Linked DNA regions of Schizosaccharomyces pombe. Each later gene encodes a partner of the first gene's protein in a complex. Each region holds a gene or a part of one and is shown in the gene's direction. Other genes may lie near its edges.

Region 1 (5,089 bases):
CTTGATAATCTTTAAGATACAATGCAATTTGTTCGTCAGGTAATTGTAAAACTGATTCTTGGGTAGTACTTTCGAGCGCGCATAATCTAATCAAATACTCCAGTAAAGTTAAATTAGGTTGATCTTTTATAGTCGATGGAAAGGAAGACTTTTTCTTTGCAACGGATTCTTGTTTTTTGATGCCTAAAAGCTGTAGCCTAGCAGCTTCAGAATCACTAAGAGATTCTGCAAGTTCATCAGATTCGTCTAATGATTCATTAGGTATTGATACCAAAGGAAGTGCTTCTAAAGCTATCCAGTTCGAAGGTGCTGTATTTGAAGAATACTCTGTTTCATCATCTGCATACTTGAGTAATAATACGGGAGTTTGTACATCATCTAACCGAAGAAGTTTACCGGACAAACTAAAAAAAAGCGTGCGCACATCATTTAGTGAAATGGTTTTGGTGACAGGAGTCTCATCTTCATCATGGTAACGATCATCATCAAAAGATTGTTTTAAAGATAAAGCATAGGCTAGAACCGTATCCTTGGACTTCAACCGTTGAGGAGGCATGCGAAACATTTTGGCGATACAAACAGGCATCTCTTCTTTCCACATGACTAAATCATTGCTTATATAACCAGACTTGGCGTGGTTATCTATAATTTTATAAGTTCGCAGGAAAAATGTGGGGCCAACTTGTAAAGGTTCATTTCCAGTAAATGCAACATTCGCCCTATATATGTATGAATTAGCTCGTAGAAGTTGGGAAAATGAAGTAGATTTTGGAAGAGAAGATGAAATAGAAGCACCAGAAGTAGTGATGGACAGATTTAAGAGAGGAACTGCATCATTAATTTTGAGAAGTAAAGTTTTCATTTCACGAAGAATAGACGTATCAACGTTCTTCTGCAAAGTTTCTTTTTCTGAGGAAGGCGGAAATTCCGAATGAGCGGCGCTTAAAACATGCTTGGTGAATTGTTCGATGTCAGCGTGCAAAGAATCCACTAATTGCTTAGTACTCTTAAAATTTTCATTTTCACCGACTGACATTATTTCAATTAGTTCGATAGCAGGCGTCACAACTCGAATCATTTCAAGCAGTTGAGTTTTCACAGACTCCAATTCACTTTGATCATCTGCAGAGGCACGTTTAATATAGCTGCTAACTTGCTGAACAGCTAATTTTCCTGCAAATGATATACTATGTTTCAACGCGAAGTTCGTAGCAAATGTCGCAGCATGAGAAGCTACATTAAGTAATTCATCCATTTCTAAAAAGGCGGCTTTAAAAAACACAAGAGAAAACAAGGCTAAACAAATAAATAATGGTCATTCAAATTGTATTTATTCCTTTTAACAACAAATTAATAACGAAATAAAAAGAAGCGTAGTAAATTGAGAACCAAATAGAACTTGCGCTAAGTCATAGTGATATGTGGAGGATAGAAGTTTAATATCCAAACACGCCTATAGAATTTTGTATAAGGAAATCCTAAAGTGAATAATTATATAATGGATTTACATATTGAATCTTTTGGAACTTGCTTGGTATATATTTTGAAGCTGTAACGCTGATTCATCGTTTCTTCCATGACAAAATCCTTGCAGTGATTATTGGTGACAATGGAGACTAATTAACCAATAGATTTAAAAACTTTTGATTAATTGTTCAACCCAATAGCTAATAAATGTTGTGTTTGGTATTAAGCCCACCGAAGTTTCTGTTTTTTATCTCCCAAGGCAAGTCAATATATTTTACCTGTTTAAGACAATAATAGCGTATTACTGAAGAAAAAAGCGAGAAAATGACCAATTTACAATTCAGTTGCTTCCGATTTTACAACCAAATGTAAAATTAAACTCAAATATAATATTTTATGAACTTAACTGAATTACTATAGCACAAGCTTATATAAAGGATGCTAATAATATCATCGTAAGTACTCGTAATATTATATTATAAAAGAATACACAGTGTATACTGTGGTGTAAATTCTCTTCAACATCACCGTCCCTTTACCACATATTTTAATAAAGGCAAAAAATGGCTAGTAATCAGCCAAATAACGGTGAACAGGATGAGCAACTCGCCAAGCAGACTTCTAAACTGTCGATGTCTGCAAAGGCACCTACGTTTACGCCTAAAGCTGCTCCCTTCATTCCTTCTTTCCAACGTACGTTTTTTAATTAGAACACCATCCATATGTCTTGAGATGATTGCTTGTTTTAAGTAAAAAAATTATTAACTTCTTGCTAGGCCCCGGATTTGTACCTGTGAACAATATTGCTGGTGGTTATCCTTATGCCCAATATACAGGCCAAGGACAAAACAGCAACTCGCCACATCCTACGAAGAGTTATCAGCAATACTACCAAAAGCCAACAGGAAACACTGTTGATGAAGATAAAAGCCGTGTCCCTGATTTTTCTAAAAAGAAGAGTTTTGTGCCTCCTAAACCAGCAATTCCCAAAGGAAAGGTTTTGTCCCTGGGTGGAAACACCTCTGCTCCTAAGTCTACAAAGCCCATTAGCATCAGCCTTGGTGGAACAAAAGCTCCTACAACTACCAAACCAGCAGCACCTGCTGCACAAAGCAAAACAGAGACCCCTGCACCCAAGGTTACCTCTGAGTCAACAAAGAAGGAGACCGCTGCTCCTCCTCCCCAGGAAACTCCTACAAAATCTGCTGATGCTGAACTAGCAAAAACACCCTCTGCTCCAGCAGCGGCTCTTAAGAAAGCTGCTGAGGCAGCTGAACCCGCCACTGTCACTGAGGATGCCACCGATTTACAAAATGAGGTTGATCAAGAGCTTTTGAAGGATATGTATGGAAAGGAACATGTCAATATTGTTTTTATAGGTCATGTTGATGCAGGAAAGTCTACCCTGGGTGGTAATATTCTTTTCTTGACTGGTATGGTTGACAAGCGTACTATGGAGAAAATAGAGAGAGAAGCTAAAGAAGCTGGTAAAGAAAGTTGGTATCTTTCTTGGGCTTTGGACAGCACTTCTGAAGAACGTGAAAAAGGTAAAACCGTTGAAGTTGGTCGTGCTTACTTTGAAACCGAACACCGTCGCTTTAGCTTGTTGGATGCTCCGGGTCATAAAGGTTACGTTACAAACATGATTAATGGTGCTTCTCAAGCTGATATTGGTGTTTTAGTCATTTCAGCGCGTCGTGGTGAGTTTGAAGCTGGTTTTGAGCGCGGTGGTCAAACTCGTGAACATGCCGTATTGGCTCGTACACAAGGCATCAATCATCTAGTTGTCGTTATTAATAAAATGGACGAACCTAGCGTTCAGTGGTCGGAGGAGCGTTATAAGGAATGTGTCGATAAGCTCAGCATGTTTTTGCGTCGTGTCGCTGGATACAACTCAAAGACTGATGTTAAATATATGCCCGTTTCTGCTTACACTGGTCAAAACGTTAAGGATCGTGTTGACAGTTCGGTTTGCCCGTGGTATCAAGGTCCATCTTTGCTAGAATACTTGGATTCTATGACTCATTTGGAACGCAAAGTGAATGCTCCATTCATCATGCCTATTGCCTCCAAGTATAAAGATTTGGGTACCATCTTAGAAGGAAAGATTGAGGCTGGTTCGATTAAGAAAAATTCAAACGTATTGGTTATGCCAATTAATCAAACCCTTGAAGTTACAGCCATATATGATGAAGCTGATGAAGAAATCTCTTCTTCTATTTGCGGTGACCAAGTTCGTCTCCGTGTCCGTGGTGACGATTCGGATGTCCAAACTGGTTATGTTTTAACATCCACTAAAAACCCAGTTCATGCTACTACTCGTTTCATTGCACAAATTGCGATCCTTGAGTTGCCTTCAATTTTGACAACTGGTTATTCTTGTGTAATGCACATTCATACCGCTGTCGAGGAAGTTTCATTTGCCAAGTTGCTCCATAAACTTGACAAAACAAACCGCAAAAGCAAGAAACCCCCCATGTTTGCTACCAAGGGTATGAAAATTATTGCAGAGTTGGAAACACAAACTCCGGTTTGTATGGAAAGGTTTGAGGACTATCAGTATATGGGCCGTTTCACTTTGCGTGATCAGGGTACTACGGTTGCAGTTGGCAAAGTCGTAAAAATTTTGGATTAGGGTAATTTCGGCAATTTTCTCGTGCTCGGGATTTGTTTCTATGCAAATGTATGACACTTTATGGTTCTACTGTATATAATCCAACTAGGACAAAATGGGATTTGCTTATTTTTTAGTTGGTGGACTAGCGGTATGGTAGAAGATGTATATCTAATCGTTATATACGCGTATTACTATGCCTAATTTCAATGCGATGGGTTGTATATATGAAGAATAATGGACATTCACTCCTTTACACCCTATTCACTTTGAAATTATTTACTTTTTTCGTACAGAATTCAATGCGAGGAGTAGGTCAGCAAATAGTAAATAAGCAGTTGCACTTTGCAGCTATGGAAGGGTGAAATGTGATAATAAGTTGTTGTTTTTTTACAATCCATATTAATGATTAAAACTACACTTGAAATCTTCATAATATTGTAAAATAATAGTTTATTTAAATCACTAGATATACTGAAATTTATTGTGCTACTACACCAAATCTTACCGAATAAATACCGAGGTGGATCATATTTACAGTAATCCGATCATTCTACCGTTTACATTCCACCAGCATTTCTGTACCGTATCCGAATTTCACGTACTCTTTTGACGTTGCTTGGTTTTAAGAGTAAGCATTGAAGTGTTGAAAGGTATAGTTTTTGCTATTCCGTTTAGGAATACGGGACATTGACGTTTTGAGATGACACTGCTGGAGCTCCAAAAAGAATGTATGGTTATTTGTGCTGGTGTATTACTAACAAATAAGTGTTTCTTAGCAAAATTAATTCAGTAGAATGTGCTACGAAGGTAAGAGATGGAACCCGTGAAACTTATAACGTGCACTGAAATGTTTACTGGGAATTTTGATTTGGATATTGTTTAAATGGAATTGAATTTGTGAATATGCAGCATATTATTTCCTCCGACATATTTTTTTTAAACTATCAAAATTGGCCTATTTCTAATTTGGAGCCGTTCAGTTTCACATCTTTGGCTTTTGGTTTG
Region 2 (4,769 bases), on another chromosome or scaffold:
ATCATCTATTATAATATGAGTCAATTCCCTTGCCTCTCTAGTTCCAACAAATGCTTAAATTGTATATGTATCTGCATCGCGACTTTATATATGATCGACTTCGACTGGAAAACGATCTTCATACACTAAGGAATTTCACAACAATTCAAACACAGCTTTTACAGTAAATGCTCATACTTTGTTGTAAAACATATGAATTGGTGTAACATTAAGTGTGGCTTGCAGGCGAAAATACTCTTTTATAGATGAACAAAAAAGTATTTAAATAATTATATTTTATATGAGAAGACCAAGTTATTTAAGTTTGATCAACAGAGATGTTAATCAATCTGTATGCCAAAACTTGTTACCAATGGACTGTGTCTTTGAGGAAGGGTAAGGCCTGTTACGTACGCGCTCCTTCCAAACATGGTGGGTAGGTATGTAGACAACTTCACCGGAGCCATCACGAAATTCCAACAACAATGGATAATCATATGCTAAACCGAATTAGTAAATCACCGATTCTTCCAGTGGTGTCATATTGCATGGCTTCCATATTGATGACTTTGACCAATAAATATGTTCTTTCGAGTCCTGGTTACAATATGAACTTTCTCCTTTTGACTGTACAATCCACTGTTTGTGTAGCAGCCATTGGGATACTAAAACGTTTGAAAGTTATTAATTATAGGGATTTTGATTTTCGTGAGGCCAAATTTTGGTTTCCTATTTCCTTTTTATTGGTAGCTATGATTTATACTGCATCGAAGGCTTTGCAATTTCTTTCTGTTCCAGTGTACACTATATTTAAGAATTTAACTATTATTATCATTGCTTATGGTGAGGTCCTTTGGTTTGGCGGGCATGTTACTGCTTTAACTCTTTTTTCTTTTGGATTAATGGTTCTTTCTTCTATTGTCGCTGCTTGGGCAGACATCCAGTCTTCCTCATTTGCTTCCCAAACCTTAAATTCTGGCTATTTATGGATGGTGCTTAACTGTCTCACAAATGCTGCTTTTGTTCTCGCGATGCGTAAGCGTATCAAACTTACCAACTTTCGTGACTTTGATACCATGTTTTATAACAACTTACTCAGTATCCCTGTTTTGGTTATCTGCACGCTCTTTACTGAGGACTGGAGTGCTGAAAACATTGCTCAAAATTTCCCTCCTGATGCCAAATTTGGTGTTCTAATGGCTATGGCTATTAGTGGTGTTTCTTCAGTAGGAATTTCTTACACCTCTGCCTGGTGTGTACGCGTAACTTCTTCGACAACTTATAGTATGGTTGGTGCTCTTAACAAACTTCCCTTGGCTATTGCCGGTTTAGTGTTTTTTGATGCACCCATCACTTTTGGATCTGTTACCGCTATTTTGTTGGGCTTTATTTCTGGTGTTGTTTATGCCGTTGCTAAATCTCAACAGCAACGTCAGAAAGATCCTGCTACCATCCTCCCTATGACTCATAATCCCGTTAGTGCTAGTTCTCAAAGCATGCGCGATAGTCTGTCAAAGTCTTAAACCCTTTGTGTTGGTTATTATTTATGTTTAATTTGCAAAATTTTTTCAAGCCTGCATAAGAGAATAGACTTTGTTTCTTTTTACTTAAAAAGTTTTTATTACCGTTACTCAAAATATACCGCTTTTACTCGTGTTCGATAAAAACCTGATTACGAGATCGTGTCGTTTATTACAACGTGACTATTAGGTTTGAAATATTTTGACAGATAAAACACTGACATTCAATTACAATTTTTAGACCTCTATTATTTCATTTCCTAAATCATTTGCTTTTTTTTTCTAAATATCATTTCTTTCTTTAAAATGCTCTCCGATGGAAAAAGGACGTCTAATGTTCTTATGTCTTCGTTTCCTTTTACTGAGCTTCTAAACTATTGGTTGAATGTTTGTCAGCCGCTTGGAGTCGAATTGTTTAGTGATTCAATTTTACTAATATTTTACCTCCAAAAAATTATTTGTTTTTTTGTATATTATTGAAATACTGTAATAAATACAAATACGATAGCTAAGTTAACGAAATGTATCGTGCTAAAAGTTTTCATAGGCCGTCACCTTTCAGTAGGCAAAAACCTACCAACTACCAAAAACGAAGTACAAGAGGTAATTCGTTGCTTGAACTGTCTGTTCAAGTTATAAAAAAATAGGATTTCGGTTTTCGGATTTTTCATAGTGTGTACAAGAACCTTGGGTATAAAAAACTTTAAAACAAATTTTACAAAATGAGTGAGACTGCTGAGAAAGCTATCGAAATTTGGAAAATTCGCCGTTTGGTAAAACAATTGATTAACTGTCATGGAAACGGCACCTCAATGATTACGTTAATTATCCCACCTGGCGAACAAATATCCAGATACAGCAATATGCTTGCCGAAGAGTATGGCACTGCCTCTAACATTAAATCTCGTGTGAATCGTTTATCAGTTCTATCTGCAATTACTTCAACTCGTGAGCGTTTGAAATTGTACAATAAAGTCCCTGATAATGGATTGGTCATTTACTGCGGTGAAGTTATAATGGAGGGCAATAAGACACGCAAGCTCAACATTGATTTCGAACCCTTCAAACCAATTAATACTTCGCAATATCTTTGTGATAATAAATTTCATACTGAAGCTTTAGCAGAATTGCTTGAAAGTGATCAACGCTTCGGATTTATTGTTATGGACGGTCATCAAACTTTATATGGTGTTGTTTCTGGTAGTGCTCGTGAGGTTTTACAACGATTCACTGTCGATTTACCTAAAAAACATGGACGTGGTGGTCAATCTGCTCTTCGTTTTGCCCGTTTACGTGATGAAAAACGTCACAACTATGTTCGAAAGGTTGCTGAAGGTGCTGTGCAGCATTTTATTACTGATGATAAACCTAATGTTGCGGGTATTGTTCTTGCTGGTTCTGCTGATTTTAAAACGGAACTCGGTCAAAGTGACTTGTTTGACCAACGTCTTCAATCTCGTATTATCAAGACTGTAGACGTCTCGTACGGTGGCGACGCTGGTTTTAACCAGGCTATAGAATTGGCTGCTGATACTTTGTCAAATGTGAAATATGTCCAAGAGAAAAAATTGATACAACGCTTTTTCGACGAAATTAGCTTAGATTCGGGTAAATACTGTTTTGGTGTCGTTGATACTATGAATGCACTTCAGGAAGGTGCCGTAGAAACACTTCTGTGTTTTGCAGACCTTGATATGATCCGTTATGAGTTTAAGAACTCAGAAGGTAATCCTGTTATTACATATATGACTAAGGAGCAAGAGGAAAAGGATTCTACCAATTCGTTCTTGCTAGATAAGGATACAGGTGCTGAAATGGAGTTAGTAAGCTCTATGCTACTCTCTGAATGGCTTGCTGAACATTACAAGGATTACGGTGCTAACTTAGAGTTTGTTTCTGACCGATCTCAGGAAGGTATGCAATTTGTCAAAGGTTTTGGTGGTATTGGTGCTGTTATGCGTTACCAGCTTGATCTCTCCATGCTTGATCCTGAATCTGATGAATTTTATTCCGACTCCGACTAATTTTCCCCTTAAAAGTAATATAATAAACTAAGCGTGATTTGTATTTACCGATTGTCATTTAATCTTTTTGAGTTACTATCTTTTGTTGGTTGCTTAGTGATATTTGAGGTTTGCCATTATAAATCTTATCGACTTATTTTTCTTAGACTATGTAAATTCACTCGCTTCTTCTCCTTCATAAGTTGTGTCGTACTATTATTCTTTTTGTTTTTTTCAAATAAATTAGCGGTAGGCTAATATTTTTCTTTAGCTGCCTTCACTGCTGTCCGCAAATTTGGGAAAATATTAATTAAAATGCCGAGCATCATACTGATTTCTCGAACAGTAAGTATATTGCATCTCTTACGATTTTAAGTTTAAATATTTCTAAAATTGCAAGTTTAGCAATTAAATAAGTATTTAGGATTGATTTAGTTTGTGATTTGAGCTCTCATGAATTTTAGCATTAACGAGATTTACGGTCGTATCTTGTCGCAATCTACAAATAGAAGCTTGTCCTTAGCAAGTAGCATATATCTTGCAATACTATAATCTTCTGCAAGATGTCAAACGAATCTAATATAATTACAGTTCCTATACTCGGAAAGGATACTGTGAGAGTTGGATTTGGTATACATCAATATATATGCACTGAAATTCTGGAAAACTTCAAGTCTTCGACATACGTCGTAATTACAGATTCAAATATTGCACCTCTTTACCTGGAAAAGATTGAAAGTACTTTTAATAAGTCTATTAAAGATGCCAAGGCTGAAGCAAGGTTGCTTACTTATGTGATTCCTCCTGGAGAATCTTCAAAATGCCGAGCTATGAAAGCGGAAATTGAAGATTGGTTGCTCACACAATCCTGTACACGAGATACCATCCTTATTGCTATGGGAGGTGGAGTTATTGGTGATTTAGTGGGATATGTAGCTGCTTCATTCATGCGTGGCATTCGTTTTATTCAGATGCCTACCACCTTGCTTGCTATGGTTGATTCTTCTATTGGAGGGAAGACAGGTATTGACACTCCCTTGGGAAAAAACCTTGTTGGTGCTTTTTGGCAACCTCTTAGAGTGTATGTTGATATGGTCTTTTTACATACCTTACCTCCCCGGCAAGTCATAAATGGCTTGTCCGAAATTATAAAAACAGCTGCTATGTGGAACGAAAATGATTTTCAATTACTTGAAAACAATTCCGCTGTTTTATTGGATGCCTTGAACAAACCTTCCGTTCCAGGAGAATACAAGTTTGATAGTAT

The links.
Region 2: the proteins of sup35 (region 1) and erf1 are in contact, whole or in part, in a crystal structure (PDB 3E20), measured with the Schizosaccharomyces pombe proteins. Residues at the interface, in NP_588225.1 of Schizosaccharomyces pombe: Ser571 (codon at 3,824), Ile572 (codon at 3,827), Leu573 (codon at 3,830), Thr574 (codon at 3,833), Thr575 (codon at 3,836), Gly576 (codon at 3,839), Tyr577 (codon at 3,842), Ser578 (codon at 3,845), Met611 (codon at 3,944), Phe612 (codon at 3,947), Asp647 (codon at 4,052); in NP_594680.1 of Schizosaccharomyces pombe: Gln285 (codon at 3,074), Phe288 (codon at 3,083), Ile291 (codon at 3,092), Ser292 (codon at 3,095), Tyr298 (codon at 3,113), Phe300 (codon at 3,119), Gln396 (codon at 3,407), Met399 (codon at 3,416), Gln400 (codon at 3,419), Lys403 (codon at 3,428), Gly404 (codon at 3,431), Phe405 (codon at 3,434).

The regions. Positions count from the first base shown.
Region 1 is NC_003421.2:1,533,423-1,538,511, forward strand, and holds sup35 (eRF3-like class 2 translation release factor sup35), read left to right. Parts: upstream 1-1,976; 5' UTR 1,977-2,030; coding exon 2,031-2,160; exon of another isoform or gene 2,161-2,194; intron 2,195-2,243; coding exon 2,244-4,102; 3' UTR 4,103-4,589; downstream 4,590-5,089. Other genes in the region: SPOM_SPCC584.03C (GTPase regulator), read right to left, coding at 1-1,255; SNARE-binding protein Sec1, read left to right, coding at 4,785-4,812, 4,851-4,891. UniProt on the Schizosaccharomyces pombe protein: GTPase component of the eRF1-eRF3-GTP ternary complex, a ternary complex that mediates translation termination in response to the termination codons.
Region 2 is NC_003424.3:4,689,706-4,694,474, forward strand, and holds erf1 (cytoplasmic translation release factor class I eRF1), read left to right. Parts: upstream 1-2,074; 5' UTR 2,075-2,221; coding exon 2,222-3,523; 3' UTR 3,524-4,033; downstream 4,034-4,769. Other genes in the region: GDP-mannose transporter Vrg4, read left to right, coding at 465-1,502; multifunctional aromatic polypeptide Aro1, read left to right, coding at 4,066-4,769. UniProt on the Schizosaccharomyces pombe protein: Component of the eRF1-eRF3-GTP ternary complex, a ternary complex that mediates translation termination in response to the termination codons. The eRF1-eRF3-GTP complex binds to a stop codon in the ribosomal A-site.